Callithrix jacchus: one gene and its partners. The protein of the gene in region 1 binds, or shares a complex with, the protein of each later gene. Links are inferred from orthologs where the notes say so. Each region holds a gene or a part of one and is shown in the gene's direction. Other genes may lie near its edges.

The links.
Region 2: MYBL1 (region 1) and RBL1 share a complex: the UniProt entries of both Homo sapiens proteins name them as parts of the DREAM complex. The link is inferred for Callithrix jacchus from reciprocal best matches to the Homo sapiens genes MYBL1 and RBL1.
Region 3: MYBL1 (region 1) and LIN9 share a complex: the UniProt entries of both Homo sapiens proteins name them as parts of the DREAM complex. The link is inferred for Callithrix jacchus from reciprocal best matches to the Homo sapiens genes MYBL1 and LIN9.
Region 4: MYBL1 (region 1) and TFDP1 share a complex: the UniProt entries of both Homo sapiens proteins name them as parts of the DREAM complex. The link is inferred for Callithrix jacchus from reciprocal best matches to the Homo sapiens genes MYBL1 and TFDP1.
Region 5: MYBL1 (region 1) and LIN52 share a complex: the UniProt entries of both Homo sapiens proteins name them as parts of the DREAM complex. The link is inferred for Callithrix jacchus from reciprocal best matches to the Homo sapiens genes MYBL1 and LIN52.
Region 6: MYBL1 (region 1) and TFDP2 share a complex: the UniProt entries of both Homo sapiens proteins name them as parts of the DREAM complex. The link is inferred for Callithrix jacchus from reciprocal best matches to the Homo sapiens genes MYBL1 and TFDP2.
Region 7: MYBL1 (region 1) and LIN54 share a complex: the UniProt entries of both Homo sapiens proteins name them as parts of the DREAM complex. The link is inferred for Callithrix jacchus from reciprocal best matches to the Homo sapiens genes MYBL1 and LIN54.

Annotation. Positions count from the first base shown.
Region 1 is NC_133517.1:22,491,106-22,495,776, reverse strand, and holds the start of MYBL1 (myb-related protein A), read left to right. Parts: upstream 1-1,824; 5' UTR 1,825-1,946; coding exon 1,947-2,005; intron 2,006-4,671. UniProt on the Homo sapiens protein: Transcription factor that specifically recognizes the sequence 5'-YAAC[GT]G-3'.
Region 2 is NC_133506.1:2,224,600-2,229,014, forward strand, and holds the start of RBL1 (retinoblastoma-like protein 1), read left to right. Parts: upstream 1-1,446; 5' UTR 1,447-1,515; coding exon 1,516-1,671; intron 1,672-4,415. UniProt on the Homo sapiens protein: Key regulator of entry into cell division. Directly involved in heterochromatin formation by maintaining overall chromatin structure and, in particular, that of constitutive heterochromatin by stabilizing histone methylation.
Region 3 is NC_133520.1:22,938,195-22,942,933, forward strand, and holds the start of LIN9 (protein lin-9 homolog), read left to right. Parts: upstream 1-1,658; 5' UTR 1,659-1,748; coding exon 1,749-1,827; intron 1,828-2,975; exon of another isoform or gene 2,976-3,209; intron 3,210-4,739. Other genes in the region: uncharacterized protein LOC144580374, read left to right, coding at 1,221-1,658. UniProt on the Homo sapiens protein: Acts as a tumor suppressor. Inhibits DNA synthesis. Its ability to inhibit oncogenic transformation is mediated through its association with RB1. Plays a role in the expression of genes required for the G1/S transition.
Region 4 is NC_133502.1:29,094,162-29,098,100, forward strand, and holds part of TFDP1 (transcription factor Dp-1), read left to right. Parts: intron 1-1,046; coding exon 1,047-1,153; intron 1,154-3,939. UniProt on the Homo sapiens protein: Can stimulate E2F-dependent transcription.
Region 5 is NC_133509.1:109,030,769-109,035,490, forward strand, and holds the start of LIN52 (protein lin-52 homolog), read left to right. Parts: upstream 1-1,828; 5' UTR 1,829-1,835; coding exon 1,836-1,866; intron 1,867-4,722.
Region 6 is NC_133518.1:42,566,083-42,570,021, forward strand, and holds part of TFDP2 (transcription factor Dp-2), read left to right. Parts: intron 1-1,637; coding exon 1,638-1,784; intron 1,785-3,939. UniProt on the Homo sapiens protein: Can stimulate E2F-dependent transcription.
Region 7 is NC_133504.1:114,864,764-114,868,109, forward strand, and holds the end of LIN54 (protein lin-54 homolog), read left to right. Parts: intron 1-345; coding exon 346-547; 3' UTR 548-2,648; downstream 2,649-3,346. UniProt on the Homo sapiens protein: Component of the DREAM complex, a multiprotein complex that can both act as a transcription activator or repressor depending on the context. In G0 phase, the complex binds to more than 800 promoters and is required for repression of E2F target genes.

The DNA of each region.
Region 1 (4,671 bases):
AAAGAGAACTGTTAAAAGTCAGTGGGTTTAAGTTTTGACAGTAGTGTATACAAGCTTCTCTCAATTCAGCTCCTTTTAATTCACTCTGCACCTGCATCTGATTTGCAAAAGATGATGCGTAAAATTTCAAAATAGCAAGTGTCAGTTTGTTACAGTGTTAACATGTGGCTCAGTGCTCTATGCAGTAGACCATGTTGCCTTGCAAATTTAGATCCTTATCCGACTCTAACTGTTACTGTAGCAAATCTACTTTAATGCTACTTGAACAGTTTGTAGTTATTAGACTTGGAACTTCGAGTAGCTGCAACCGCTAGAAACTCCTCCGGTGGTTCCCCCCCTCCCTAGTCTCTCCAGAGGAAGGAAGGTCACCTTCTACACTTTAACTACCATGCTCATTCGTCTGGGCAAAATGCCCAGTCCACTGCCGTCTTCACGCGTTATTCTCCAGTACCGGGCTCCTCCGCCGCGCACGTTATTTCCCGTAGAGCTGGGCACGAAATTGAGCACCTCGAGGACCAACGGCAGCCAAGGATTATCTCCCGTTCCCGTTTCAAGCACGTCTCCCACTAGGAACTTTTTTCACTTGTCACGCTTCTGCTGCTTTCTGAGGAAAATAGACGATACTTGGTTTCCTGCCAAAGTCTTCGTCACTCTCGTAGCTATGACGTCTGGGTAAAAATAGCTCACATGTTTGCTTAAAAAATAACGGCCGCGCAAATTTGTGGTTACATTTGTCTCGGGTCAGAAGACCGTTCCTCCTAACTAGTGAGGAGGGAGACGCGTAAGGAGTGAGGAACGTGGCCGAGGCGAGGCTGCAGAGACTTACTCCCGCCGGGAAGCGGGACCACTCACTCTGCCAGAAACTCCGTCCGCTTACCCTAGAAATTTGGGGCGGCTGGACGGTTCTGGCGCCGCTTCCGGACCCGCTCCTGGCGAGCGCAGGAACTCGCTCTCCCAGCAGGCCCTGCGCGGTGCGCCTCTCGGCGCGTTCCGGGTCCTATGACAGCTCGATCGCCCTGCCCCGCCCGCGCCCCGCCCGCGCCCCGCCCGCGCCCCACCCGCGCCCCACCCGCAGCCCCACCCACTGGCTCCCGGCTCCTTCCCCGGCTCCCGCGAGTTCCAGTCCCGGCTTCCAGCTCCCCAGCCCCGCCCTCAGTCGCGCGCGCTCTCCCTGCCCCGCCCTCACTCCTTCGCGTGCGGCCCCCACAGCCAATGAGGTTCAGGGCCGCGTGCGCAGATTCAAACGGCGGCTCTTGAGGGAGGCTGGGCGCGAGATTCGGCGGTGCGGACAAAACCCTGCAGGAAACTACGATCCCTGCAGAACTGCTAGCTGCGGGTAGAGAGCGGTGGTCGGCGCCTGTGGCGGAGTCGCGCTGGGACCGGGGCGGGGAGGCTGAGAAGCGGTGGGATAGGCCGGCGGAGGGCGGGAGCGCGCCTTCTGACATGTTGGGGGCATCCCTGGCCCGGCCGGGCCGGGGCTAGGAGCAGCGCTGTGGGCAGGGGCCAGGAGCGGGTCGCGGTCCGCCCCCGCTGTCCCTCCGTCGCACCCTGCCTAGGACTTGCGTTCCGCACTCGGCTGCCTTCGGAGGGAGCGAGGGAAGCGGCTAGAGGGTCAGGGAGAAGGAGCATTCGCCGGAGGCTAGAGGAGGCTGACCCGCGTCCCCGTCCAGCCCGCCCCTATGCGGTACTTGAAGGATGGCGAAGAGGTCGCGCAGGTGGGTGGCACCCCTTTTGCCCAGGCCTGTCGGCGCCTTCTCGGCTCAGATTCTCTTTCCTTTCCCCCTGCCCCCTCCCGCCATAAGGCCCTCCCCGGCGAGGGCAGAGGTTTTTCTTCCCGCGGCCGCCTCGATGGCCGGAGCACGACCGCGATGTGTGGAGAGTTGGGGACCAGGGTGTGAGACGCGGGGCGTAAGAGATGCCCAGGTTGCTCCGTGGTTCTCCCCACAATGCGCGTCCAGACTCCAGTCCTCACGCTGCCACTTCTTGGAGGCAGGTTTCTTGCCAGGTAAGTCGAGCGCTTTTAGGGAGTTCGCTACGCAGAGAAAAGTGGCTTTGTCCTGTCGGGAGGACTTGAAAATGGTGTTCCGGCTACTCTTCTGAATAACCGTACAGTCAAAATAGGAACTACGCGGTGAACCTGGGTGGCCACCCTTCTGCCAACTTGGCTACCTCGAAACGTTGTGGAAAATCCTCTGGGGAATAGCTGAGAGGACCTTTTTGATGTTTTCTGTAATTCCCATACCCATATTCTCAGCTTTATGTATATATGTATATTTTAATATTTTCTACTGGGACCATGCCACATTGTTACTATTAGTAGCTTGATGTTAAAATAAAGCAATGTGTTTGATTCACTTAATATTTTGAGTGTCTGTGTTTGGCTCTGACCGTATCTAAGTGTTGCACAGAGGTAAGGCATATTTTGGGGGGGGGGGGCCTGGAAAATGTGCTAGGATGAATTTATATGCATTACAGCAGCTACTCATAAATTATGTGGAGTAATTACTCAGATAACAAAAATACAGGGTATCTTCTGATTTTCAGCATTATCAAATAAACCTGAAAAGATGTTTGGCAGACTTTCCAAATATTTTACTTACCTAGATCCACAGCCCTAAAGTCTTAACTAGTGATGTATTTCCTAAGTTGAAATTTAGTAATGGAGGTCATTCACTGCATATTTCTGCTAAAAATCGGCAGTAACTATACATAATAGTTTTTTGCTTTATTTGTCTGTTAAGCATCTGCTGTGTGCAAGATGCTTCTGCAGAAATCTTTAAGTCCCTGTAAGCTTATTAGTTTTGTAATAAGTTATAGGACAAACCCTTGAGATGAAATAAATTTATACACAGATCCCTCTAGAACAGTTTTCAAAGTTTGCACTATTGACATCATGGACCAGTTAATTCTATGTAACGGGGAGATGTTTAGTAGCATCGCTGGCTTCTACCCAGTAGAGATAGTAACACTCCACTTACCTCAGTCATGACAGTAAAAATGTCTCCAGACATTGCCAGATATCTTTCGGGGGACAAAAGCACCCAGGAAAGAACCACCCCTCTAGAACTTCAAGGACCCAGTTAACATCAGTCTTCAGAAAAGATAGATATTTAAAGCTCTTGTAATTATGATTGCTGAAGTACCGGTTTAGGCTTTTTGAATTTTTAAATATATAAAAAATTAAAAATTATTAAGATGACAAATGAATATATCAAATTTATTAATGTTTGATATTATCTACTTATCAGTATTTATGTTAATTTTATTTGAAACAGTTATTTGGCTCATTCTGCTATCAGCATTTAGTTAAATTAAAATTTTGGGTAAACATGAATGTTTAAATGTCAGAACTTTATCCTTCCCAGTGGGTTTTCTGTCCATTTCCTATGTATGTAGTGCATGTTTCGTAATAATAGACAAAGAAAGGAAAAATGACTTAATGTTAGTTTCCCTGTATAAGTTGTTTTATTGACAATACTGTGACCTTGAAATTTAAATATTAATTATATTTTTGACATTTATTTCTTGCCAGTTGTATAAGTTAATTTAAACACAATAGAATGATTTAAAGAGGTATAAATCTGGAGTAATTAAGTGTGGTGGGGTGAAGCTACATTCTGCCTGGGAGTATACAGATAGAGGATGTGGGGATACATTATCATCTCTGAATGATACGTCTCTTAAGTCTTCATACCCGAATATGTTGCATAGTCTACATTTCTTGCATGTGTAAATATGATTTACGTATCTTAGAAGATAGTAGATGCTCTGCTTTGTGCTTCAACAAAAAACAAATTAGAGTGTGAATTGTTTTGAAGCAAAAATAGTCATTGGGAAAAATATCTCTTGCCTTTTAGCTAAGTGTCTTAATATATTTGAACTCAATTCATAGTTGAAAGGGAAAAGAAATAATTCAGTTACTTCAGGTTGTAATTTGAGATCTCCAGTATACAACCATGTAAGCATTCAAGTGAAAACTATAGTTCGCTGTATACAAGTTTTGCCTAAGAGTATAGGCGTAAATCCTGTAATACATGTTTATGCTATGTGATCTGGAAAAAAAACAACAACAAAAAACAAAGTAGAAGACTAAGTGTTACCTCAAGTGTGAAACAACTGCAGGATGTTGGTTGTTTTGATCTTTGTTTAAGATAGCTGTAGTATCTCTCCTCTAGATTTACATACAGGAAAAGACTTATTTGTATTGTGACTTTAAATAATTTTACATCCCACTGGGAGTTGTAATGACAATTTACAGGCAATACTAAAATTAATATGTCTGTTATTAACATATATTTGACTTTTAAGCATATTTATATATACATAATTAATTTTAGATTTAAAAGTTTTACCCTTTAAAATAAACTTTTATAAAATATTTAGAAACGTATTTACTAGTAATAGATTATTTACACTTGAGATGACCTGTGACTGCACTAACTGAAAAGATAAAAGCCAGCTCTTGAAATAGAAGATGTTTTTTCAGTGGTATGTATATGTGTGTGTGTAGGAAGCAATTTTACTGTGTTGTTTCCAGCAAACCGGGTGGGAGTGAAATTATACTGAAATATGAGAACTGATCTTTTAATCGGTTTTGTCATTAACTGGCAGTGTTGTTTTGGGGAAGCAGGTAAACTCTGCCTCAGTTTTTCATCTGGTTAATATACGGAT
Region 2 (4,415 bases), on another chromosome or scaffold:
GATTGTCCTCCTGCCTCCACTTCTGGGACTACAGGCAGCCATCACCACGCCCAACTAATTTTTGTATTTTAGATGGGGTTTTGACATGTTGGCCAGCCTGGCCGTGAACTCCTAGCCTCAAGTGATCTGCCCACCTCAGCCTCCCAAAGTGCTGGGATTACAGGTGTGAGCCACCATGCCCGCCCCCATTTCCCCAATTCTTTGATATCTGGTTCAAGTATTCTTAGCTATTATCTTTTAGCTAGTGATTTGGATGAAATGTTTCACTTTTTTAAAACATTGGGGTTACCACTAAATAAAAAACTGAGTTTGTATTTTTCCAAATTAAAGGGAAAAAAAGCAGCCACAAGGAATCACAAGTATGACCAGCGTAGGGTGAGAAAGGGGAGAGGAGCAAATGAAGGCAGAGTTAGACAGGGGACCACCAGACCCTTAGTGCCTTATAGGCTAGGACAAGAAGCTTGGCTTAACCCTCAAAGAAATGGGGAGTCGCTGCAACATTTTCAAACTTTTGGATTTTTTGACAATTGAATAGCTTCTGATTGGTTGCAGAAACCAACCAATCAGAGGCTAGGGTTAAGTTACAAAGTTATACTTCTATGCAAATGAAGACTCTACAGCAATGAGTCTGATTGGTTGTGGACAGCAACTATTCAGAGACTGAAGTTAAGTTACAAAGTTGCAAACGAAGAAGAGCAAGCACTCAGTGTGGTTTGTTGCGGACAGTTTCACATCTGCCAGGCAAAAAAGGTCCAACAAAATAGCCTCTGGTCATTTTGTTACTTAGGCGTGGAAAGTTGGGGTTTTCGTTTCAATTTTGTTCTAGAAAGTCACGTGAACCAACCATAGGTTCCCTGCCTCCAGACTCTATTCTCCTGCCTCATTACCGCAGTCCTCTCTGCCCGCCTCGTGTGACTAACACGAAATCAGGATCCGTCCCCTAATAACCCTCACTAGTCCTTCCCCTCGGTCATTTAGTGAACCGCTCACTGGCACTGGGCGCTGGGATGTTGGGGAGAGTCCCAAGAGCCCCTCTTCGTCCAGAGGTTACTTTTTTCTAAAAAGGAGCCTGAGGCAGGAGAAACAGTGACAAACCCAGGGCCCATGGATAGAGGAGGTATCTCACTATGCTACACGAGGTACATGGTCAGGCCGCGGGCTTCATCTCCCCGAGATGGACTACACCTCCCAGCAGGCTCTGCGCGCAGGCTGTGGATCCCTCCGCTCTTTTTTTGCCCCGCCGGCTGGGCCCCCAGCGATCCGCCAAGGGCCAAGTCCAGGTCATTCAGGATCTGTGGTCCGTCTTCTTAGCACATTTCCGGAGAGGGAAGGCTAGGAGCTCCGGAGGAAAAACGGACTTTTTTTGAGGAGGAAAAGCGGAGGCAGACGGTGGAAGACAAGGCGCTCCGCAACCGCCGATTTTCGCGCGCTTTGGCGCAGGTGGTTGTGGGTAGCTCGTCCGAGAGAGAGAAAGAAGTTGGGGGCCGTGGCGCGCCGCCCGTGGGGACTGAAAGGATGTTCGAGGACGAGCCCCACGCCGAGGGGGCGGCGGTGGTCGCCGCAGCCGGGGAGGCGCTACAGGCGCTGTGCCAGGAGCTGAATCTGGACGAAGGGAGCGCGGCCGAAGCCCTGGACGACTTCACCGCCATCCGAGGCAACTACAGCCTAGAGGTGAGCGGCGGCAGGTGGGACGGCCGGACCCGACTCTCGCCAGGCCCCACCCCCGCCCCGCCCCGCCCCTTCCCTGGCCTACGGGGTGGTGGGAGTTTCCCCACCGAGGGTCGCTGCCCAGCCTGACGCCGAGGGGCGGGAAGGCTGGGTGTAACCCAGCCATTCCACCCATCATTTTGAGGCGGGAAACTGAAGCCCCAAAAAAGGAGCGGCCTAGGTCCCGCGCCACTCAGACCCCAGGCTTCCTAACCACACTTCCCTCCACCCTGCCGAGCGCCACAGACGTCGTGGCTGCCCTTAAATAGGTAGGAACAAATATAATGGTAAAAGTGAAAATGAATTTGCACGCCAAGGCGCCACTGCTCAGAGCTTGAAATGGACCCTCTCACTCAGTTCCCTCTGAACCCCTTCTGCGGTCCTCATTCCACGCAAGAGGAAGCCGACAGGTTCCTCTTAAGTTAACCGAACAGCTTCATCCCCAGACAGGTTAAGCTGCGGGCCCGGGGTCATACTTCTACATGGAGCCAGACCCAGAATCTGAGCCATTTAACCTCCACCCTCTGCTTCACCAGGGTGGAGCAGCAGTTTGAGCAGAGCCAATGTGCACACGAAGCTGATCTCAGCCCTCCGTCAGACCATCGTCCTGATGCTTCCTATCAGTGTCTGGCTCTGAAAAAATAAATGTCAGTTATAATTACTCGATTTTCCTCATCATTCTTGCATTTTATCCTCACAAAAGCCCTGTGAACATGGCATGCCAATGAATACTAGACCTACTTTCCAGGTTTTAATAGCAAGGCCCAGAAGGTTGCTTTGCCCAGGGTTATTCTAATATAGAAACCCAGGCCGGGCGTGGTTGGCTCATGCCTGTAGCCCAACACTTGAGGAGGCTGACTGGGGGGCGGATCACTTGAGGGCAGGAGTTAGAGACCAACCTGGGCAACATGGTGAAACTATGTCTCTACTAAAAGTAAAAAAATGAGCTGGGCATGGTGGCACCTGCCTGTAATCACAACTACTCAGGAGGCTTAGGCAGGAGAATCGCTTGAACCCAGGAGGCAGAGGCTGCAGTGAACAACAGAGACCACACCACTGCACTCCAGCCTGGGTGACAGAGCAAGACTCTGTCTCAAAAAAAAAAAAGAGGCCAGGCCCGTTGACTCAGCCCTGTAATCCTAGCACTTTGGGAGGCCGAGGTGACTGGATTGCCTGAGCTCAGGAGTTCAAGACCAGCCTGGGCAACATGGTGAAATGCTGTCTCTACTGAAAAAAATACAAAAAATTAGTGGGCGTGGCAGCATGTGCCTGTAGTCCCAGCTACTTGGGAGGCTGAGACAAGAGAATTGCTTGAACTGGGGAGGGAAAGGTTGGAGTGAGCTGAGATCATGCCACTGTACTCCAGTCTGGGCAACAGAGCAAGACTTTGTCTCCAAAAAAAAAAAAAAAAAAGAAAAAGAAACCCAGGCAAGCATAAGGCCAGTGTAGACAGAATTGTGATGGAGTATATGTCATGTAGCACTCCAGTGGCCTCATGTTCAAAGGCTTTCATGTACCAAGAGGACTGGACCCATGCCCAGGGCTCACTGCTGACTCCCCACCCAGCGAAATCCTTGCTGGGTTCAAAGGCATAGAGTTGGAAATGTGTTGACTGTATGCGTGTCTGTATATGAAGGAAAAGTACCTGAAAAAGACTTGTGTATTTTCAGGACTGGATAGACTGGGTGAAGGACAGTGGTCCGCATCTGTATGTGGCATGACTGGAAAGCTGTGGAAAGAATAAGAAAGTAGGGAAGATTAGAATGAATGGCCTCTCAGTTGAAAACAGGTTGATTTTTGAAAGCCTGAGAAAGCATTTCTGACATCCCAAGTCTCATTTGGTCTCTCCTGCAGAAGGTCTGTCATTGAATAAGCATTTACTGTGTCAAACTATGGTCATGGCATGCACCTGTTTCAGATTCTTGAATATGACAAGCTTGTTCCCAGTTTTGTGCTTTATCCATGCTATTCCCTCTGCCTGGAATCTTTCCTCTCACCCCCAACACTAAGAAAGGTTGAAGAGCTAAATATCTAGGTAGACAGAGTTGAATACGACATCTTTAATGTTTGCTTTATTTCTTTTTTCTTTCTTTCTTTCTTCCTTAGAAACAAGGTCTTGGCCAGGCTCAGTGGCTCATGCCTGTAATTCCAACAGTCATAATGAGTCAGAATCAAGCCAGGGGCCTAATCCCACAGAAAACTTTGGGAAGCCAAGGTGGGCAGAACACCTGAGGTCAGGGGTTCAAAACCAGCCTGGCCAACATGGTGAAACCCTGTCTCTACTAAAAAAATTAGCCAGGTATAGTGATGTACACCTGTAATCCCAGCTACTTGGGAGACCAAGGCAGGAGAATCAATAAAACCTGGGAGGTGGAGGTTGCAGCCAGCCAAGACTGTGCCATTATACTCCACCCTTTACAACAAGAGTGAAACTCCATCTGAAAAAAACAAAACAACACAAAAACAAAATAGGGTCTTGCTCAGGCCCAGGCCTGGAATGCATTGGCACAATCATAGCTCACTGTAAACTTATACTCCTGGGCTCAAGTGATCTTCCTGCTTCAGCCTCTCTAGTAGCTGAGACTGTTGGCATGTACTACCGTGCTCAGCTAATTTTTCAATTTTTTGGAGACAGTATCTGACTCTGTTGCCTGAGCTAGTCTTGAACTGGTCTCAAGTGATTCTTCTGCCTCAGTCTTCCAGAGCAT
Region 3 (4,739 bases), on another chromosome or scaffold:
GGGTGTTTAGAAGGCAAAGGAGAGGTTAAGCTAGCTCTGAAGGGAGGATTACTTTGTAAAATTGAACTTTCACCCTCCCTGCTCTCCCTCCTCTCTTAGCATGGCAGCACCCAGTTACCTAAGGCACAAAGCTGGCAACAGCAATACTACTTCCTTCTCCTCACACCCAGTGACTCACCCAATCCTTTTTATTTTCCACACGTCTTGAGAGGTGGAGTGCATGCTGCCGCCTCTAATACTGTTGCGGTGGTGGTGGTCGTGGCTGGCTGATGGGTGCTAGCGGCTATTAGAAGGCCCTTACATTTATCAAATCATTTAGCCCTCAAAACAACGCTGTTATTATTTGCATTTTACAGATAAGAAACAGAGGCACAGAGAATTCAGTTACAAACCAACGTGCCTGAGATTATACAACTAGCAGCCCATCTGTATTCTTCCCATTGAGGCCGCGGGGCTCCAGCGCCACCTCTGCACCTACCTCGCTAGCTACCAGCGCAGGCATCTCTCAAGTCCTTTGCATGCCCCAAATAAGCTTCCTCCTGACTGGTTTCTAGGCTCTCATCTTGTCCCCTACCAATCCATTTTCCATATTTTTGTTCTAAAACACAAATAGAAACATGCCCTCTCTTTAGGTAAAACCCGACTCTTCCATTGCTCCAGTGGACTAAACAAGCTCAACTCCTTCCCCGGGTGGGCCTCTGTGTGGCACTCTGTCATCTCAGTCTACTGCCTGTTAACTTTGTAGTTCCTGGAATTCACCCAAGTTGTCTTTTGACTGCTTAACTGTCTCATTCCTCCAACTCCCGTAAGTTCCTAGAGAAAAGAATTGGAGCTCAATGACATTTGTTAAATGAATTTTTCAAAAGCAACAGTATTCTATTACTGGAAAGTGTTACAGACAGAAATTGTGAAATTTTTCCTTGGGCTTCTTTCAATTTCGTTGAATTCTCGTCCAGTATTCTCATAACATTTGGATCAGGTACTTTATCACCTTGTAGTGTCACTGTTCCTTTCTGTATCCTCTCGAAGCCTCCTGTTATTCGTTTCCTAATTCTCTCCCAGCCCATTGCACGATCTAGTGTGGAATGGATGAAAGAGCAGAGCAGAACAGTTCTTCAGCTGTCGGCCTAAATGACTAACTTCATGACCTCTCAAGGTCTCGCTCCACGGCTGCATACAGCTCAGCTTCCAACATTCGGGAGAGGCGTCCCGGGCTCGCGATGGACCGCGGGGCCCGAAGGTCGCGACGCGCAGGGGTCTGCTGCGGCCAGAGCTCTCCGGAAGAGGGAGGCGCCCGAGCAACGTGGGTTTCGGGAACCGTGAATATTTCACTTTGCGTACAGCCCCCTAGGGCAATGACACCCAGAACCGAGGGCTTCTTTACCCCTGCCAGGGCCTCCCTCCCGTTCTCCAATCGGAACAAACAACCTGCAGTTCCCACAGCTGCAGCGCGGGCCGCGGAACACGCGACGGGCGCGGGGCCCGGGCGGGACTCCGGAGCTGGCGCTGCTCCCCCCGCGCTCCGGCGCCGGGCTTCTCCGCGCGGCCTCCTTCCTCCCGCCCGCTCAGCTGGAGGCGGCGGCGGAGGGGAAAGGCGCGGCCCCCCCTCGGTGGCACCTCCTCCCCGGACAGGCGCGGACGGAGCCGAGCCCGCCTAAGCCGGCTGCGGCGGGAGCAACGCAGCGCGGCGCCGCGGGCAGCGAGCTCCGCATTCGAACCTCCCTCGCAAAGACAGTCTCCGCCCCACAATGCACTGCGGCGGGCAGCCTTTGAAAAAGCGGCGCGGCTCGTTCAAGATGGCGGAGCTCGACCAGTTGCCTGACGAGAGTGAGTAGCACCTCAAAGCACCCCCACTTCCCGCCCGCCGCCTGCTCCGCGGCTGCACCGGCCGGGACGGCCGGCTGTGCCCTCCGCTGGGCAGGTGGGCTGACTGCCAACTCCACCGTGGTCTCCTAGTCCTTCCACTCCGGTGTTGCCGCCGCGTCGCCGCCTTTGTTATGGTGTCTGTGTGTTGGTTTCTAGGGTTGTGTGAGCGCCAGGGCCGGAAACCGAGAGCCCGGGAGTCCAGCCTGTGCCGGGCGGAGGCGGTGGCTGCTCCCCTGGCCCGACTCCTGCCCCCGGCCGAGGTGGGGGTTAGAGCGGCCCCCGGGCGTGGGGGCTGTCCTAGCCGCCTGCACCACTCGCCCGGCGCGGAGAGACGCTCGCCGGGGTTATGTAACTCGCCTGTCCCGGGGCCGGGGGAGGGCTCGGGCTCGGCACGGGGTGGTCCACGGCCCCATCTTCTTGCCCCAGCCTCTGATGTTGTCCTGTCACAGCTCCTGCTTCTACGAGCACTTCTGATCTTCACTGTCCTCTCCGCCCGCCCCCCCCCCCACCCCACTGGTGTGTCCACCCCTAGAAGTGTTTCCGTGTCAGAGGGTTAGCCCCTTCCCCTGGGACCACAGGTGGCTGTGGACCTTTCCCGAGATCATCCAGCCCGGATACTTAGTGTTCAGGTAGCCCCCGTCCCGAAGACTTTCTTCTGTATGTGTCTTAAGAGCCATAATGTACCTTTATTTTGCATGGATGTGACCAACACAGCGTACGTGTGCAGTACCCTCCCTGACACCCACTCTAGGGCATTGCCTCATTTAACCATGTTTACTCACCCTGACATCTAAGACATGTATGCTCACTTGTGTTGAGTAAGTAAAAGCACCAATTCCATAGTTTAAGGGCAGTGGAACTTGATTTTGTAATTTACAGCATTGCATAAATTATATGAAAAATCAAATATGTTAGTTAATTACAAAAAGGTCCTGAATCCACATTCACTATTCAGTTTATACATATCTGCGAAAGGCTCAATCACTATTGAATCTATCTGTGTACAAGGCAAATGAGAACTCAGCATACTGCCGATTCCATTTTCTTTGTGAGGTCATGTATTCTTAATAAGTTGTAAAGTTAGGGGCCGGGCGCGGCGGCTCACGCCTGTAATCCCAGCACTTTGAGAGGCCGAGGCTGGTGGATCACGAGGTCAAGAGATCGAGACCATCCTGGTCAACATAGTGAAACCCCGTCTCTACTAAAAATACAAAAAATTAGCTGGGCATGGTGGTGCGTGCCTGTAGTCTCAGCTACTCAGGAGGCTGAGGCAGGAGAATTGCCTGAACCCAGGAGGCGGAGGTTGCGGTGAGCAGAGATCACGCCATTGCACTCCAGCCTGGGTAACGAGAGCGAAACTCCGTCTCAAAAAAATAAAAGTTATGAAGTTAAAAATTTAAGTTGCCAAGCTGGTGAAAAGTTGTATTAAAAGTGTTTGTGTTTTAAATTTGATAGAAAGCAGCGCCAAGTCCCAAAGGAACTTTGTCGGTGATGGAATTGTTTTCTTTTGTGATATCCCATAAGGTAGCCAAGCCACATGTGGCCATGGAACATTTCATGTGGCTAGAGGGATGGAGGAACTGAATTTTGAATTTTATTTAATTTTAATTTGCATAGTCACATGTAGCTAGTGGCCACTGTATTGGATAGGGCACAGCTGTTGACCAGCCATGAGTTGTATTGTTTATTTGTAGAATACAATTGATTGTGATTTAGAATGTTCCCAAATGAGTGTAGACCTACTAAGCACAGTGTTCTTGTTATCCAAAAATGTTTTTCATCATCCTTGCTATCTTTATCATAAAGATGTCTTATCACCTCTTGGTGTCATGATCACTAGAGCCACTATTTTGGTTAATGATAGGCATTTTAAGTGGCTTTCTTACAATTGCCATCAGGAATATTTGCTTCATATCATCCAACATTTATTGACAATTTACTGTGGTTCTTTGTAGGAACTTGAGATTTATACTAGGGTTCAAATTCCAGCTCCACTCTAAAATTAACATAACCTAATCACTTATATTGCTTTATGACATCTCTGGTACATTGGTGTGTATTTGTGAAGCATATGTCTTGTTTAGCCAGACTTCCGCTCTGTTGAAACCAGGGATTTTCTTTCATTGTTTGTCATACAATGCCACAAGTCAAGTATCCATAAATACTTGATTTCTATGGAATTGAATACAAAGTAACAGGTACTATTAATGAAACTGGAGCCGGGTCTTGAAAAGGAAAAGCAATTTCAATATGATACTGGAAATAGAAGTATGTTTTTTGGCCACATTTAGTCAAGGGGGCTAGCTAATACCTTATCCAGTAGTTGATACATTATCAATAATGAAAGCTACCATTTATTGAGTATTTACTGTGAACCAGATGTCATGCAAAGCATATTATATGTTTTTGCTCATTTAATCTTGATTTCAGTTGTTGTAAGTACTCACATTTTATATGATGAAATCAAGGCTATCTTCAGCCCAGATCTTTCCTGAGCTTCCTTTTTTGATGTCTTGCCTATTTCACATTTCTTCTTAGATGCTTCAAAGGCCCCTCAAAACTGCACAGGTTCAAAATCCACCTCATTCCCACCCCAGGACAGATACTTCTAGTGATTCCTGTATTAATGAATGGTTCCACTGTGCAGTCACCTGGCAGGGCAGAAACCTAGAGATTATCTTTCGCACCTTCCTCTCTTTCTTTTTTTTCCCCCCCTTTTGAGACGGAGAATGCAGTGGCTCGATCTCGATCTCCGCTACTGCGGCCTCCACCTCCCGGGTTCAAGCAATTCTCCTGCCTCAGCCTCCTGAGTAGCTGGGATTACAGGCCTGTGCCACCTTACCCAGCTAATTTTTGTATTTTTAGTAGAGATG
Region 4 (3,939 bases), on another chromosome or scaffold:
AGGGCCCCAGAATGAAACTTAAGATCGCAAAGGCAACGTGTTACAGAGTCTCACCAATTTTCTGTAAGTCATTTTGTTGCTGACTGGTGGGAATGGAGGGAGATGCCTGTGAGGAGGTCCAGGGCCCTGCAGCTCCAGACGGGCGGCTGTCTTGGGAGACTGGGCATTTTTAGAGGCCCGAGGTATGACGAGATCAGGGAGTTCTCCTCACCTGATGTTGTCATGACCCGAGAGTCTGTCTTGTTCTTCACCTGAGGGTACTGTGTATTTTCAAATGGGGGGCTGTCCGCTACCTACCTCCGTGTGGCGCCCTGACGCCACTCCTGGGCTGCGCTGACCACCTCATTTCCCAGGGTGCTCACTACCATCTGGTTTATGGGTTCCTCTGTTCTCTCCGCTCGGTGATGCCATTTTTTGGAATTTTATCATTACACTTCATTTTACTATTTATTGTGTGAATGCTGCGTGACTCTCACCCACTGCCGCGTCCCTTGGACCTTTTGCGTACCGCTGTTGGAGGAGAGAGGATTCACGTCTCCTGCAGAGGCATTCCCCACTTCCTTTGTAAGGGCACTGTGTGTTTAGAGGCGCAGCCTCCATGGAAGGCACACTCCTTTCTAGGAACAACTGTGGCTCTCCTTTCTGAGGAAAGTGGATTATTAGATTTCCAAACTAATTTTGCAGCCATATAGAGAAATATTGGGATAAAAATTAACTCTAGTTTTGGAATTCTGCTCCATAATTGTCAGAATCAGACTTTTCCAGGCCATGGTGCCACCAGCACGTTCTGTAGCAGATGTTGCCAAGGCCTGAGCAGTGGATGTTCAGCCTGTGTCCCCTGGGCTGTGTCAGCATGCCCCCACTTACGGTTTTAATTGAGAAATAGGCTCCGTGGAGGTGTTTGCTCTTGAGCCATGGATTTGAGACAGTAAAAGTGGGGAAAGCTCAGTGTCTCTGATTCGAAGCGCTGTCTTGCTAGAACGGCTACTTTTAGCCTGAATTTGGAAAAGGAGTCTTGCCTCTGACCTGGTGTCCTTGTGTTGCAGGTGTGGTGTCCCTCGTGGCCGTTCACCCCTCCACTGTCAACCCACTTGGGAAGCAGCTCTTGCCAAAAACCTTTGGACAGTCCAATGTCAACATTGCCCAGCAAGTGGTAAGGCACCCACAGGAGTGGACAGTTGGGTGGGGTCGGGACTGCATGAGCGTGGCTGGGGGCGTTCCCAGGCGTGATTGGATTTGGGCTCTGGTGGCAGCGTGGGCCTTCCCTTCATCAGGGAGCTCACGGCCAGTGCTCAGTTTTCCACGGCCCTCTGCAGCTGCCCTTGTGCTGTTGTGGGAGAGGTGATGGCGCCCCCTGCACTCCTGCGTGCCCATACCATCCTTCCAGTAACTGGCGGGAGGTGGATGGGGTCGCGGCCCCGGCCAGAGGCAGCTTCCTCTTTGTGTCAGAGCTCATAGCTCTTATCTAACAAGGGCTTCTGAAGTGCTGAGGCCAAATATTGGCCCTGGCCCTCCTGGCAACACTGGAAGCCAGGGAGGGGTAGGGCCCTGGCCGTAGCCGTGCGTTGGCCCTGGGGCAGTGATAGCAGATGCTGCTGCCTCGCCGCACACAGGAGAGGAGCGCTTGGGCATCGGGAGGTGGTGCATCCCCCTTCCCCAGGCCGCTGCTGGTAGCTGATGCTGCTTCTGACAATGCTGTTTCCTGTCTCTTGTCCGCCCTCTGCATCCTCGATGGTGGGAGCCAATCCGAGAATCCTGCAGCCTCACCTCACCAGAAATGGGGCCCCAGGCACCGGGTGGGCAGGTTTGGCTGTGAGTGGAGCTGTTGGCGCGGGACACTGCCACCCCAAGGCTAGGACGGGCTTCCAGTCCTTCCTTGGGGACTGGTTTATGGGGCCTGAGGCTCCTTCCTGGTCCTGTGATGGTGCTGAGGCCCTGCTCCCGCCGGCCCTGGGCTGTGGGGACATAGCGCCTCTTGCACCCCGGCCTCCTGATCCATTGCACCCCTCACCCTGCTCCGCCCATGCTGTGGTCCTGTCTTCCTACAAGGATCTAACACCCCCAGGTGGGATGAGAACCTGTCTGCTCCTGTCCCTCAGGTGTCCCCAGGCGTCCTCGGTGTCCCAGTTCCATTGGGCAGCTCTGTACTGAGCTGTTTGCCGTCGAGGGTACAGTCCCATTGGGTAGCTCTGTCCTGAGCTGTTGTGCTGTCAAGGGTACAGTCCCATTGGGCAGCTCTGTACTGAGCTGTTTGCTGTCGAGGGTACAGTCCCATTGGGCAGCTCTGTACCGAGCTGTTTGCTGTCGAAGGTACAGTCCCATTGGGTACAGTCCCATTGGGCAGCTCTGTACTGAGCTGTTTGCTGTCGAGGGTACAGTCCCATTGGGCAGCTCTGTACTGAGCTGTTGTGCTGTCAAGGGTACAGTCCCATTGGGTAGCTCTGTACTGAGCTGTTGTGCTGTCGAGGGTACAGTCCCATTGGGCAGCTCTGTACTGAGCTGTTTGCTGTCGAGGGTACAGTCCCATTGGGCAGCTCTGTATTGAGCTGTTGTGCTGTCGAGGGTACAGTCCCATTGGGTAGCTCTGTACTGAGCTGTTTGCTCTCGAGGGTACAGTCCCATTGGGTAGCTCTGTACTGAGCTGTTGTGCTCTCGAGGGTACAGTCCCATTGGGTAGCTCTGTACTGAGCTGTTTGCTGTCGAGGGTACAGTCCTATTGGGTACAGTCCCATTGGACAGCTCTGTACTGAGCTGTTTGCTGTCGAGGGTACAGTCCCATTGGGCAGCTCTGTACTGAGCTGTTGTGCTGTCGAGGGTACAGTCCCATTGGGTAGCTCTGTACTGAGCTGTTTGCTGTCGAGGGTACAGTCCCATTGGGTAGCTCTGTACTGAGCTGTTTGCTGTCGAGGGTACAGTCCCATTGGGTAGCTCTGTACTGAGCTGTTTGCTGTCGAGGGTACAGTCCCATTGGGAAGCTCTGTACTGAGCTGTTTGCTGTCGAGGGCGTCTCCCTGTGGTCTAATCCTGTTTTCTTCAGAGAATGATGAGCACACACCAGGGGTGTTTTGGTCATTTTCGTACTTCAGTCTTTACTTGATATGCATTCCTGCTATTTCCGTTTATTTAAATACACTTGAAATTCTCTGTTCTTTAACAGATCTTAGGATGTGAGTTTTAAGAGAGAGTGGCTTGTGAGTCGCAGCCTTGGGACCTGCATGGGACTCCGCTTCGCCGAGCCCCCTGCCCCCGTGTGTGCCGCGCGCAGCTGTCCTGAGTGAGCACTTCCAGATCCCAGGCAGCTCTTGTGGCCCCTTTTCTGCCAGTGAAAGTTGACAAAACCTTGCTCTGCAGAAGTTTTGTGGCCATTGAAAGGGGCGGTTTGTGAAAGCCCTACCATGTTATACAGCTGATCACAGCTTCTCAGTAAATGCCATTTTGATAAAAGCTTAAATTCAGTTTTGGTTTTGCTTTTTTTTTTTTTTTTTTTTTTTGAGACAGAGTTTCGCTCTTGTTACCCAGGCTGGAGTGCAATGGCGCGATCTCGGCTCACCGTAACCTCCGCCTCCTGGGTTCAGGCAATTCTCCTGCCTCAGCCTCCTGAGTAGCTGGGACTACAGGCACATACCACCATGCCCAGCTAATTTTTTGTATTTTTAGTAGAGACGGGGTTTCACCATGTTGACCAGGATGGTCTCGATCTCTTGACCTCGTGATCCACCCGCCTCGGCCTCCCAAAGTGCTGGGATTACAGGCTTGAGCCACCGCGCCCGGCCCTGGTTTTGCTTTATAATTAGTTTGATTGTTAAGTTGGATTTTATCGGTGAGTTTATCTTGGTGAATAATTGTAGCACCACTTCTGTCCTTACTGCCGGTACGATGCATGGGAGGAAAATGAATGGAAGATGATCTTACTGACGTGCTTTAAACTTCGTCATTGAA
Region 5 (4,722 bases), on another chromosome or scaffold:
TCATCTTTCGTACCGTCCCCATTAAATAGCATATTTAAACATGAACCTTTGCTGACTCTGCCAAGAATCTTTAAAATGCCCAAGTTTCTGTAGCAGAACTCACTGAAACCGGGTGAATACTAATATTACCTAAAAGCCCAGCAATATAGGGGAAATTCTCAGACTGGATGTAATGATTAAGAAGGGCAATGTTGTTTCTTGCAGATTTGTTTCTTGCCTGCAGTAAATCTTGCCTTGTACTCTAAATCCTTGCTAGAATATATAAACAGAGTTGGAGATTACAGGCCTCAGGCATGCAACTCCTGTAGCTTTGTCATTTCTCCTTTGGCTGGCTTCAGAGAGGAATCAATCCCCCAAAGGCAGAGATGATGAGGGTGTGTGGCACTAGAAGAGCTGATTTTGGGGTGAGAACTTTGACTTCTTGTCTTACTTGGCTCCCACTTTCTATCACCTGTCTTAAAGATGTTTAGTACCTTGAACGTACATGGAACACACTGGTAGCGTTAACTATGTGCCCTCATCTACCCTATGTAGATGTGCCCTATCTATGTAAACTGTAACTTAGCTGAGAGAAAGTTTAGCTGAAAGTTTTGGCAAGAAAGGGCACAACCCAGTCTATGGAAAATACAAAGAGCCACGCTTGGGGAAAATAGCTTGCAAATGGCTGCCTTTGGTGAATACCTGGAGTACACGTCTAGAAGGAGATTCAAAGTTCATACACTTACCCTCTCCCCTCACATCCCCTCTCCCCCTTACCTCGGATCAAGGAAAGTGAAGTAGGGTGGGGAAAGGGAGCAATGGCAACGTGGACGCTCACGGCAGGGAAAGAGTAATCAAAAAGAGTAGTTCTCGGGGGAGAGAGAGAAGGCTGGTGCAGAGGTGAAAAGGAAAGACGGTGGACGGATGGAGTGGTGAGGGCAAGAGAGTGACAGCAGGGACCGGGCAGGGCTGGAGGAGAGTGGGCGAGAGCCAGAAAAGAGGAGGCTCAGGAGTAAAAGGGTGTAAGGCCAAGAGTAACAGCTCGGGTGGGATCCGGGACGAGGTAGGGTATGAAGTGAGAGCTGCGCATGGGACAGGGCCGCACAGGTCGCGTAGGAACACGAGGTCCGGCCAAAAAGGGGCTGGGCCAAAAAGGTGGTCCCGCCCGAGGATGGTTCACGGAGTGGACGGAAAAGATCTAAGTCCTGGCTTCATGGTCCCTTGGCACCACCCTCACTCGCCTGCAGGATCCGGGCTCGCACTGCCGCCGCCGCCACCACCGCCGCCATGGCTCTCGGCCTCCCTAGCTCCGCACCCTGCGCCTCTACTGCTCAGAAGCACTACAGCTGCCAGGCCTCGCCCTCCATCCTGACTGGCTTCCTCATTGGTGGGTAGGACTATTTTTTCCAGCCAGTCACGCGAACCAACACCTGATTCCGCCCCTCACACGCCAGTCCTGTGAATAAGTGATTGGTCAGGAGCGAAAAAGGTCTCGCCCTCTCCCACTTCAGCCAATGCTGTTGGCGGAGGTAGAGAAGACGCCCCTGACTTGGACACTCCATACTGTGCACACGGGGAAGACGCCCCCTAACCCGGAACTCCGATTGGCCAAGGGCGCAACCGAGGCCCCGCCCTCTCACCGAGAAAAGTAAATAAGACCCTCCAAGAATTTTGCAGTCGCTCCACCTCAACAACTGCGCGAGGGGCGTGGCTATAATTAGGGGCGGGGATAGGCAAATGTTGCCCTATGAGGCGAGGGAATGAGACTAGGCTGTGAGTTGGGGATAGGGTTTCTCTTTGGGGGAGTGGCTTATGGATCCTCGTTTTCCCGCCGACGGTTGGCCATGTCACGTGACATGGGTTGGAAGATGGCGTCTCCCACAGACGGTAAGAGCCGGCTTGTAGATCTTTGCCTGCAGCCTCCTTCTTTGCTCTACCGGCAACGTCTACTCTGTCTCTGCCCCTCAAACATACATTTCTTTCTTGGGCTCTTCTCCTTTCCCTTTTACTTTTTTTCTTGAGATCCATCGCCGTCTTCAGCTCACTGGTTCTTCACAGCGGCTCCGGAGGTGCCCAGTTTCCCCGCTCTGTACCAGGCGTGTGGAGGAGGGCACCAGGGAGGGACTCACTTTGGGTAAAAGGACAGGGGGTTGCCCTGATCCTTCCTTGTCTCTATTTGGGTGAGGCTGAGAGCCTCGGAGGAGATGTTAGTGGAGGAAAGGACGTGCCTTAAACTAGTCTCCTCCTTGGAGTATCACACTGAGGGATCAGTTTTCTTCTGATTGAGCGCAGGGATGGAACGATTCTCACAAACTCTAGCAGTGGCTGCTGGCTGACCTCATCTCGATACTGAACCGCAAGAGAAACATGATCTCTCTCCTGTCTCTTGTTTGGGACCACTGCCGTGGCAGCAAGATAATCGGGGGACGTTCTCGGCCCCTCACCGTGAGAGTCGCGAGGAGAATGAGTATTGAGCTTTTAAGTGTTGTCTTGCACAGGTCGCAACCTCTTTTGCATCTGCTTTTTGTGTTGTTTCTTCAGGCTGAGTGAATGAACGATTTCTGTTTATGTATTGTAAAATGCAAGTCATTTCAAGTAACAATTAGGTTGTCTTGGTATATTCCTATGCTTTTGGTCTCGGTTCTGCTTTAGAGAGTTAGGGTCTTGCAGTCATTTTTAAACTCATTTTTGTTTCTGTCGTTCCCATCCCAACTATATATATCGATTTCATTGATATATAGGTTTCCCTCCCTTAGACAAACACATTTTGTATTTGGAAGGAATCTTGAAAGTTCATTACAGGAATGAGGAAATTGAAGCCAAGGTGAGCTTTATTAAGTACCTGCTACATGAAACGCATAATGCTAGGTGCTTTGAGATTCCAAAAGATTACTCAAACATATAAATATTTTTTTTTCAATTTCAGATCTTTTTTTAGATGTCACCTCCCAAAGAGTCTCTTAGAACACAGGATCTGGAGTCGCTCTTCCCCACCATTATTCATTATCTCAGTGTCTTCCTTGTCAGCATAGTAATTCTGTTAACTTTGCCCCTTTTATGCTAGATTATAAATTTCAAGTTTGTCTTGTTTATAGTTGGATCCCAGGGTTTAGCACAGTGCCTGGTGAACAGTAGGTCTTTAATTAGCATTTATTGAAAGATTGATTAGATATATGCAGAAATAATATATTACTTGATCTTAAGTTTTAAGATCTTGGGAGGCTGAGGCGGGCAGATTGCCTGAACTCAGGAGTTCAAGACCAACCTAGACAACATGATGAAGCCCAGTCTCTACAAAAAAAAAATACAAAAATTAGCTGGGCATGGTGCCACACACCTGTAATCCCAGCTACTTGGGGGGCTGAGGCAGGAGAATCTCTTGAGCCCTGGGGTGGAGGCTGCAGTGAACCATGTTCATGCCACTGCACCAGGCTGGGTGACAAAGCGAAACCCCCGTCTCAACAACAACAAAAAAGAAATTATGGATGTTTGGAGTCAAAAGAGAGTCTCCTGCCTGGGTGCTCTCTTGCTGAAATGTCCTTCTCTTGCCAGAAAGAAGGGCATTTAAAAAGCAAGGCGAGGGAATAGGGAGTTACTGTTAACAGGTACCAAATTTCAGTTTAGGTAGGTGAAAAACATTCTGGAAATGAATGTGCTGATGATTGCACAATTAATGTACTTAATACCACTGAACTGTATACTTAAAAGTTGTTAAAATGGTCAAATTTATGTATATTTCACCACAATTTAAAATAACAAAGCCAAGTGATAGAAGTAGAGGTAATTGTTATTAAATTTTTTAGTTTATTTTTAAATTGTTTTTACAGATTTGGGGGATTTTAAAGATGTGTTTCTTGAGTTGGATTTTTTCCCCTGTCTTCTCAATTTAGTTTCCTTTCTTTGGCCAGGAAGAGTATTAAAAACATTGTATGTTTTTCCTTTGGTCTTCTAGCCATCTTTATGGTCACTTTATTTGCACTCTTTATTTTTTAAGTTTTCATTCTTATCTCTTACAGAGTTTCACTCTTCTCCACCTAATCTTTTCTTTTTAATCTGACAAAATCAAGTCGAGCACTTTGAACTTAATTAAATTCATCTTCTAAATAAGTAACTCATTCTAAAATATTCCATGGCCTAGCTCTCTCACTTCTATTTTTAGTGTTCCACCTGTCACTGTCTTTAAAATTTAATTCAAACAATATTGATTTAAAAATGTTTTTTATTTACTCTTTTGTCTTTTTCATGCTAAATTTGCTGGAACTTCTTTGAAAAGGAGAAAACTGAAATTCAAATACAGCCATCTAATTACTTAATTTGTGAGAGTAAGACTCACAGCAGAGTTCTGTCCCAGATTGTGGTATCATAAGGTCACCGGTGTAGGTTATAGATCCTACCCTCAATGATTTTTTTTTAAATTTTCTTTTAGAGACAGGGTCTCTCTCACTCTATTGCCGGTGCTGAAATGCAGTGGTATGATTATAGCTCCCAGCACACTGAAAGGCTTAAGCTATCATTCCATCTCAGCTTCCCAAGTAGCTGATACTACAGGCTCACACCACCATGCCCAGCTAATTTATTTTTGTTATTATTTATTTTGTTTTGAGATGGAGTCTCATACTGTCATCCAGGCTGGAGTGCCATGGCACCATCTTGGGTCACTGCAACCTCTGCTTCCTGGGTTCAAGTGATTCTCATGCCTCAGCCTCTCCAATAGCTGGGATTATAGGCACATGCCACCACACC
Region 6 (3,939 bases), on another chromosome or scaffold:
AGGCACAGTGGTTCACGCGTATAATCCCAGCACTTTGGGAGGCCGAGGCAGGTGGATCAATCACAAGGTCAAAAGTTTGACACCAGCCTGGCCAACATGGTGGTACGCACCTATAATTTCAGCTACTCGGGAGGCTGAGGCAGGAGAATCATTTGAACCCAGGAGGCAGAGTTTGCAGTGAGCCTAGATGGTGCCATGCACTCCAGCCTGGTGACAGAGCAAGACTCTGTCTCGGAAAAACAATAATAATACTATTAGAATTGTTTGTATTACTTTAAATCAACAGATCGTGCTGAACCTTTTATAATTATTTAATCTGCTTTGAACAATATCCGTATCCCTTCCAGTATCAAAAAGAGGAAATTGGCATACCTACTGCATTTCCTCCTCCTGGTACTTCTTATAGTATCATTTTTTTCTATAATGTCAATATTTCCTTTTTTTTTTTTTTTTTTTTAAGATGGAGTCTTACTCTGTCACCCAGGCTGGAGTGCAGTGGCGCAATCTCGGCTCATTGCAATTTCACCTCCTGGATTCAAGCAATTCTCCTGCCTCAGCCTCCCTAGTAGCTGGGATAATAGGCGCATGCCACCATGCCAAGCTAGGTTTTGTATTTTTTCTTCGCTATGTTGGTGAGGCTTGGTCTTGAACTCATGACCTCAGATGATCTGCCCGCCTCAGCCTCTCCAAGTGCTGGGATTACAAGCATAAGCCACTGCTCCCAGCCCAGTGTCAAAATGTCTAGTATATTCAGTTCTATAACTTAAATCTCCCACTTATTTAGATCTAGTTTTATATTTAGGTGGATTCAGTGTTCTCCTCCATCCTTTGTTATCATTACATTTCATGAGGACTTTGTTCCACAATGTAAACCAACAGTTTCCTTCATTGAGTAAGTCTTGCTATCAAGAAAAGAAGAAAAAAAGAAAGAAAAGGTCAGCTGAACTGAATGGTGTCCCTTGTGACATAGAGGATTATATTTTGGTGCAAGTTCTGAGTCTCATTGTAAATTGGAAACAGTTTGCAGATCAGCAGTGTTCAAGGAACACATTTTGAGAAGCACAGTTTTGTCCAGAATTTGAATAAGTGTCCTTGATTTTTTTAAAGTCTAAAATCCTCTCAGACAATGCAAGGCCTTAGAATACTTTACCTCCAATACCTTTTTCAGTTAATATATATGCTATTTGTAGTCATGTATATTAAGTTCTGTATTTATTCTAGACTCCATAAGACATGATTATTGTTTTATACCGTGAGAACTGAGATTTACCCACATACTTAACTTTTGAGTTGGTCTTCATTCTATCCTTCATCTCTAAGCTCCCATCTTAGATGATATTTCTTTACCTGAAGTAATCCCTTAAGTATATTTCAGTGTAGATCTGTGGGTAACATGATCTTTATTTTTAAGATTATTTTGTTTTATATTGTTTGAAAGTATTTTCAAACAATATTATTTCATCTTTAATTTTGAAGGATATTTTCACAGAATATAAAATTCTTTTGGATGTCTTCGTCAATTAGCTAAATAAAAAAATAGAATTATTCCAGCACTTTGAAGATGTAGTATTAATTTGATATGTTAATATCATGTGACTTAACCCTTAAAATTTATCACTCAATAAAATACTTTTTAGCAGGCTTACGATCAGAAGAACATTAGGCGAAGAGTTTATGATGCTTTAAATGTACTAATGGCAATGAACATAATTTCAAAGGAAAAAAAAGAAATTAAGTGGATTGGCCTACCTACCAATTCTGCTCAGGAATGTCAGAATCTGGAGGTAAGTGAGAAAATCTGTTTATGAATAGCTGTTTGCATTATTTTACATCAGAGGCATTTTAATTTAAAAATATGCTCATGTAATATAAAATTTTCAACTGTTCATGTATACTATGTCATTTTTTAACAGACTATAGAATTTTAGAATTGGTATATTCTACAGTTTAATTGGTAAATGATGAAACAGAGAGATATAAAAGTTAAATAACAATTTGATTTTTCTGTTTCTTAGAGAAGATTTTTATTTTATTCGAATTTAATCCTGAGTGCTCTACTAGTACACTTTTTTTAATGAGATGCTGGCTGTATGTATAAAAAAAAAATGGATCAAGCTGGCTGTTTATTTCCTTTATTGGTTACACAATATTCTGACTACAGCTATGAAAGTCAGACTTTTGCATTTGACTTTAGAACTAGTAGCAACAGAATAAATGGCGTTTCATTTGTGTCTTTGCCAGAATTGATAGAATTTTTGAATGATGTGTGCAGAAGCATTTTAAATTCTGTTAACTTTAAACATTATAGGAAGTTCTCCCTAAATGAACATGTTCCCTGACATACTGTTTCTAAATTGACTTTACATAATTTTGCTATCATGGCCATAAATGGAGTAAACTGAGGTTAAATATGGCACGGTGGCTTAAGCCTGTAATCCCAGCGCTTTGGGAGGCCAAGGCGGGAGGATCACCTGAGGTCAGGAGTTCAAAACCAGCCTGGCCAACATGATGAAACCCCTCCTCTACTAAAAATACAAAAATTAGCTGGGCATAGTGGTGTACACCTGTAATCCCAGCTATTCAGAAGGCTGAGGCAGGAAAATAACTTGAACCTGGGAGGCGGAGGTTATAGTGAACCAAGATCGTGCCATTGCACTCCAGCCTGGGTGACAACAGCAAGACTCCATCTCAAAAAAAAAAAATAATTATTATTATATAGCTTTGGGAGATCATTAAGATTGATTTCCTGTTTTTCTCAGTCTTTTTTCCCCCCAGCAAATAAGTTATTTAGTATTATACTTCTGGATGGAGAAAGAAACCAGAGATTCATCAGAAGCTAAAGAATATTTTTTATATGCTAGAGTGGAAATAACCTTTTCTTGTTTTTCTTCCTTGTGATAGAGTGGAATTTGAGCATCATTTTCATGATCAGTAATACTGAGCTAATACTACAGACTCATTAAGCAAAAAAACCTATTCACATCTACCTTGTGCTTAACCACAGGTTATACAAGGCAAATCTCTGACACCAAGAAACTGTCATTCCAACTGGGGAGAAGAGAAATGTAAAAGAGTTACTAAAAATGTGATTATTCCTGTAAAAGAAATGTACAGATTCTCTGCAAAGAGGGATGAGGGAGGGCTTTACCAAGGAAATAATACATGAGCTCAGGCATGAGATGGGAGTAGTTTGCCAAGTGGATAAGGGTGGGGAGGGCCTTCCAGGCAAAGGTGCTACATGGACTGAGATAGGCATGAAAAAGCATACCTGGACCTGGGTGTGGCCAGGGAACAGGCATGGAGAAAGGGGGACAGATAGCTAAGTGTTAAGCAGTGGGGGCCTGATCCTGTAAACAATGGGAAGCAGTTGATAAATTACAAAGAGAAGGGTTGATAGGATGTTTTTTAAAGGATCACTCTGCCAGTGGGTTGAAAGTAAAATTAATAGGTAGATAGGGAAGGAAATGGAATGAAGGAGGGGAATTTAGATAGTCTGAGTTACAGCAGTGGCCATGAGATTGGAGAGGTGTTTTAGAGGTGGAATCAGTGCAGCTTGACCTGGTTGGATGAGGGACAGGTAGGGGGGCCTGGCTTGTCAGAGCTTCTGATGCAAGGGATGCTCCTACAACATCTTTTCAAATGCAGAACACCACACAAATTTTCCAGTGAATCTTAATTTAGGAGTAAAGCATGGTAGTGGATAGAGGAACCATGAATGGAAACTCCTAGTACACACTAGACTGGATGGGAGCAAGCAAAGAGATTATCTGCTGGAGCAGAGAGAAAAATGTTTCATTTCATGATTGAAAGACAAAATGGTAACAAATTTAAAGATTCTATTTAATTGGCTTTTATTTGTGATTCTAGAATCTTGTAACACCTCATTATTAAGTAGAAAGAGTGTTCCTCCGATAAGCTGAGCAGAAGAGGTTAACGTTC
Region 7 (3,346 bases), on another chromosome or scaffold:
AGAGGAGCATACATTCATGATTTGGAAAGGTTTAGTTAAAGAAATTCTAGTCTTCATGTAGACTGTATCTTTTAGTTACCACATAACCTTGCCTAGGTAATACGTCAGGTATTTTATATTAAATGTTATATTTCCTGAACAATATTCTTACAATATGTGAATAATAAAACCAGATCTAACTTGTTAAAGCTCTTTTTAGGATGTGCTTGTGCTCACTGTGTAAATTGTGATGCTCATCCTGCTAGTGAACTGTGAAAGTGTCAGTAGAGATTTCCAGATGAAAGAATGTTACCCACTTTTGTTGTTATTCAACACCACCAATTTCTCTCTCAAAAATCGTTTCAGATTGCCATTTACATTTGTAACTAAGGAAGTAGCTGAAGCCACATGTAATTGCCTCCTTGCCCAGGCAGAGCAGGCAGACAAGAAGGGAAAATCAAAGGCAGCGGCGGAACGCATGATACTTGAGGAATTTGGACGATGTTTGATGAGTGTCATCAACTCTGCAGGAAAGGCAAAAAGTGACCCTTGTGCCATGAATTGCTAACTCTTGCACAAAAGAGTGATAAATGGAACTGTTCAGGAAATTTAAGGTGCAGGGACACTTGATTTTCTGGAAGAAAAACAATTACTGTATTTTAATTCAGTCCTTGTTGTAAAAGACCTGAAATTATACTGAAGGAGAAGAAATTTTAAATGAGGAAATTAGTACATTTTAAATCTTAGTTAAATCTGCTTATGCCCTTTCTAAATTGAGTTTTTCTTTATTGTATTATATAGATTTTTTAATTTGCTTGGGTTTCTTAAGAATTAGATGTTTTCTTTCTGATACCTTTGACAAAAAACGTTTATAAATGACTATAATTTATAATGTATGGTGTTGTATGACTTTGTTAGTAGAAAAAGCCAAAGCAGCAGTGGTTAGCACTCAGTTATTCTTTGGGACTTGATCTCGAATATATGCAGATAGAATGTTACATAAACAAATTCTTACGAAACATATTCAAATGACATTTTTTTTTATTTAGAAAAGCACTATCTTTTAAAGAAAAATCAGACTTTTAGGGCAGATTCTGGAATAATATCCTGTTGTCTCTTTGGGAATGTCAGAAGGGGAAACAATCCCCAGGCACACTTTTAAAATTTTTTTAAGTTATTTTAAAAAGACATATAAAATATTAAAGGACAGTAAACAATTCTCAGAGGATGAGCAGTGTGTTTCTATATAATAAGGAATGGCTAACAGATGCTCTCGGCTGTCTCCATTTTCTTTCAAAGAGGTAGTATGTATTTAAAGTAATAAATTGTCAAAGTGGTTACTGGGTACTACTAAAATGATAGGTGCATAGAAATAGAAGTAAACATATTATGTAGTGATAATATAGAACCTCCCATAGTAATCAAGTATAAAATTTGGCATGGGTGGAGAAACAAAGAATTTGGAAGCTGTAAAAGATGAATTTAGAGAAGTTTTCATCTATACAATCAGTTCTTTTTATAGACTTTTGGACTAAGTTTTCAAACCAATTCGTGACTCTTATTTGATGTACAGAAATGGGCCTCTTGAAAAAATTTTCAAAATTGTAGTGGGATTTCTTTTTATAAGGGAAGTTTAATATGGCATTATTTTCAGCCAGTGATTTGGTAAGGTGAAGGACTACTCTTTTCCTATATTTACTAAAATAAGCTAAATCATTTTCAGTAATTCAAAAACTCTATGAATTTAAGAGCCTGTTGTGATAAATCAGGACTTCTGATTTTATAAGAAAAAACCATGTTGGAATTCAGGCATTTTATTAGGTACCTTAATCATCAGTAATTAGTGTATGATTATTGCATTTCCTACAAGGACTCTATAGTTGTATGTATTAAGTGTGTATATATGTTCATATGAACTCACAAGATATAGGCAATAGAAATTAAGTAATCTAAAAGAGGATTCCGTTATTCACTAAAGTATCTTCCTTCTAAATTTGGATTCATAAAATCACAGTGCAGTAACTTTAAATGTAGATAGTGCAGACATTCTTAGCACCTCAACGTAGTATGTTTAATTAAAATTTGTATAAATGTAAATTAGTGTAAGAGGACAAAATAATTAATCAAGTTATTTTTCAAAAGATTGCAATAAGTTTTTGGTCTTAACCTAAACTTTGTTCATTTTGTACATACTCTGTGTTAATTCTAACTGCACCTTTGTGATGTGTATTTATATACAGTGTGCAGAAAATGTTTGTGAAATTTTGATTACAATTGTAGATTATGTATGATGGCATTGCTTACGAATGTTTTGCTTGTAAAAAACTTCAAGGTGCAATCAAATGCTACTAGTTTTTCTGATTTTCAAAAATCTATCTAAAATATGAAGCCTTTTCCTTCCTGTGTAGTACTTACTCAACTTTTTGTATTCAGGCATTTGCATCAAATTGCTGAACAAGATAAACAGCCACATTAATTCAGTGATTTTAAAAGACTATTTGGAGAGGGTTGGGTATATAATTTTTTAGCTCTATTTACATCCCAAAGTAGAAAGATTAAATTTATATTTACTAGAGCTATTCAAAGAATACACTTTTCTATATTGTAAAAACAGGACAGCAAAGTAAATCATACAGAAAATAAACATTTATACTATTCTGTAAAAAAAAGGTATTGCATTTTTTCTTTAGTTTAATAACATCACTTTAACCATTTAATATGCAAGAAACCTTTTAAATTATCTGATGAAGTAAATGTTACATTACTTCTGAAAACACATAACTAAAAAGTTCTATCATTTTGCTCAGTTATTACTAACATAAATTGCTTTGAAATGAGAATGTCTTCTCTTTCTTTCCACTGTTTCTTTTAAGAGTAGAAACTCAGCCAGGCATGGTGGCTCATGCCTGTAATCCCAGCACTTTGGGAGGCCAAGGTGGGTGGATCACTTCAATCCAGAGGCTCTAGACCAGCCTGGGCAACAGGCTGAAACCTTGTCTCTACTGAAAAAAAAAAAAAAAAAAAAAAAAAAAAATTGGTGTGGTGGCGCATGCCTGCAGTCATGGCTACTCAGGAGGGTGAGGTGGGAGGATCCACCTGAGCCTGGGGAGGTTGAGTCTGTAGTGAGCCAAAATTGTGCCACTGCACTGCAGCTTGGGCAATCAGAATGAGGCCCTGTCTCAAAAACAAAAATACCCAGAAAATCAATCTACTATCTCTCTTTTAATGTGAGATATTCTTTTTTTTTTTTTTTTGAGACGGAGTTTCACTCTTGTTACCCAGGCTAGAGTGCAATGGCGCGATCTCGGCTCACCGCAACCTCCGCCTCCTGGGTTCAAGCAATTCTCCTGCCTCAGCCTCCCAAGTA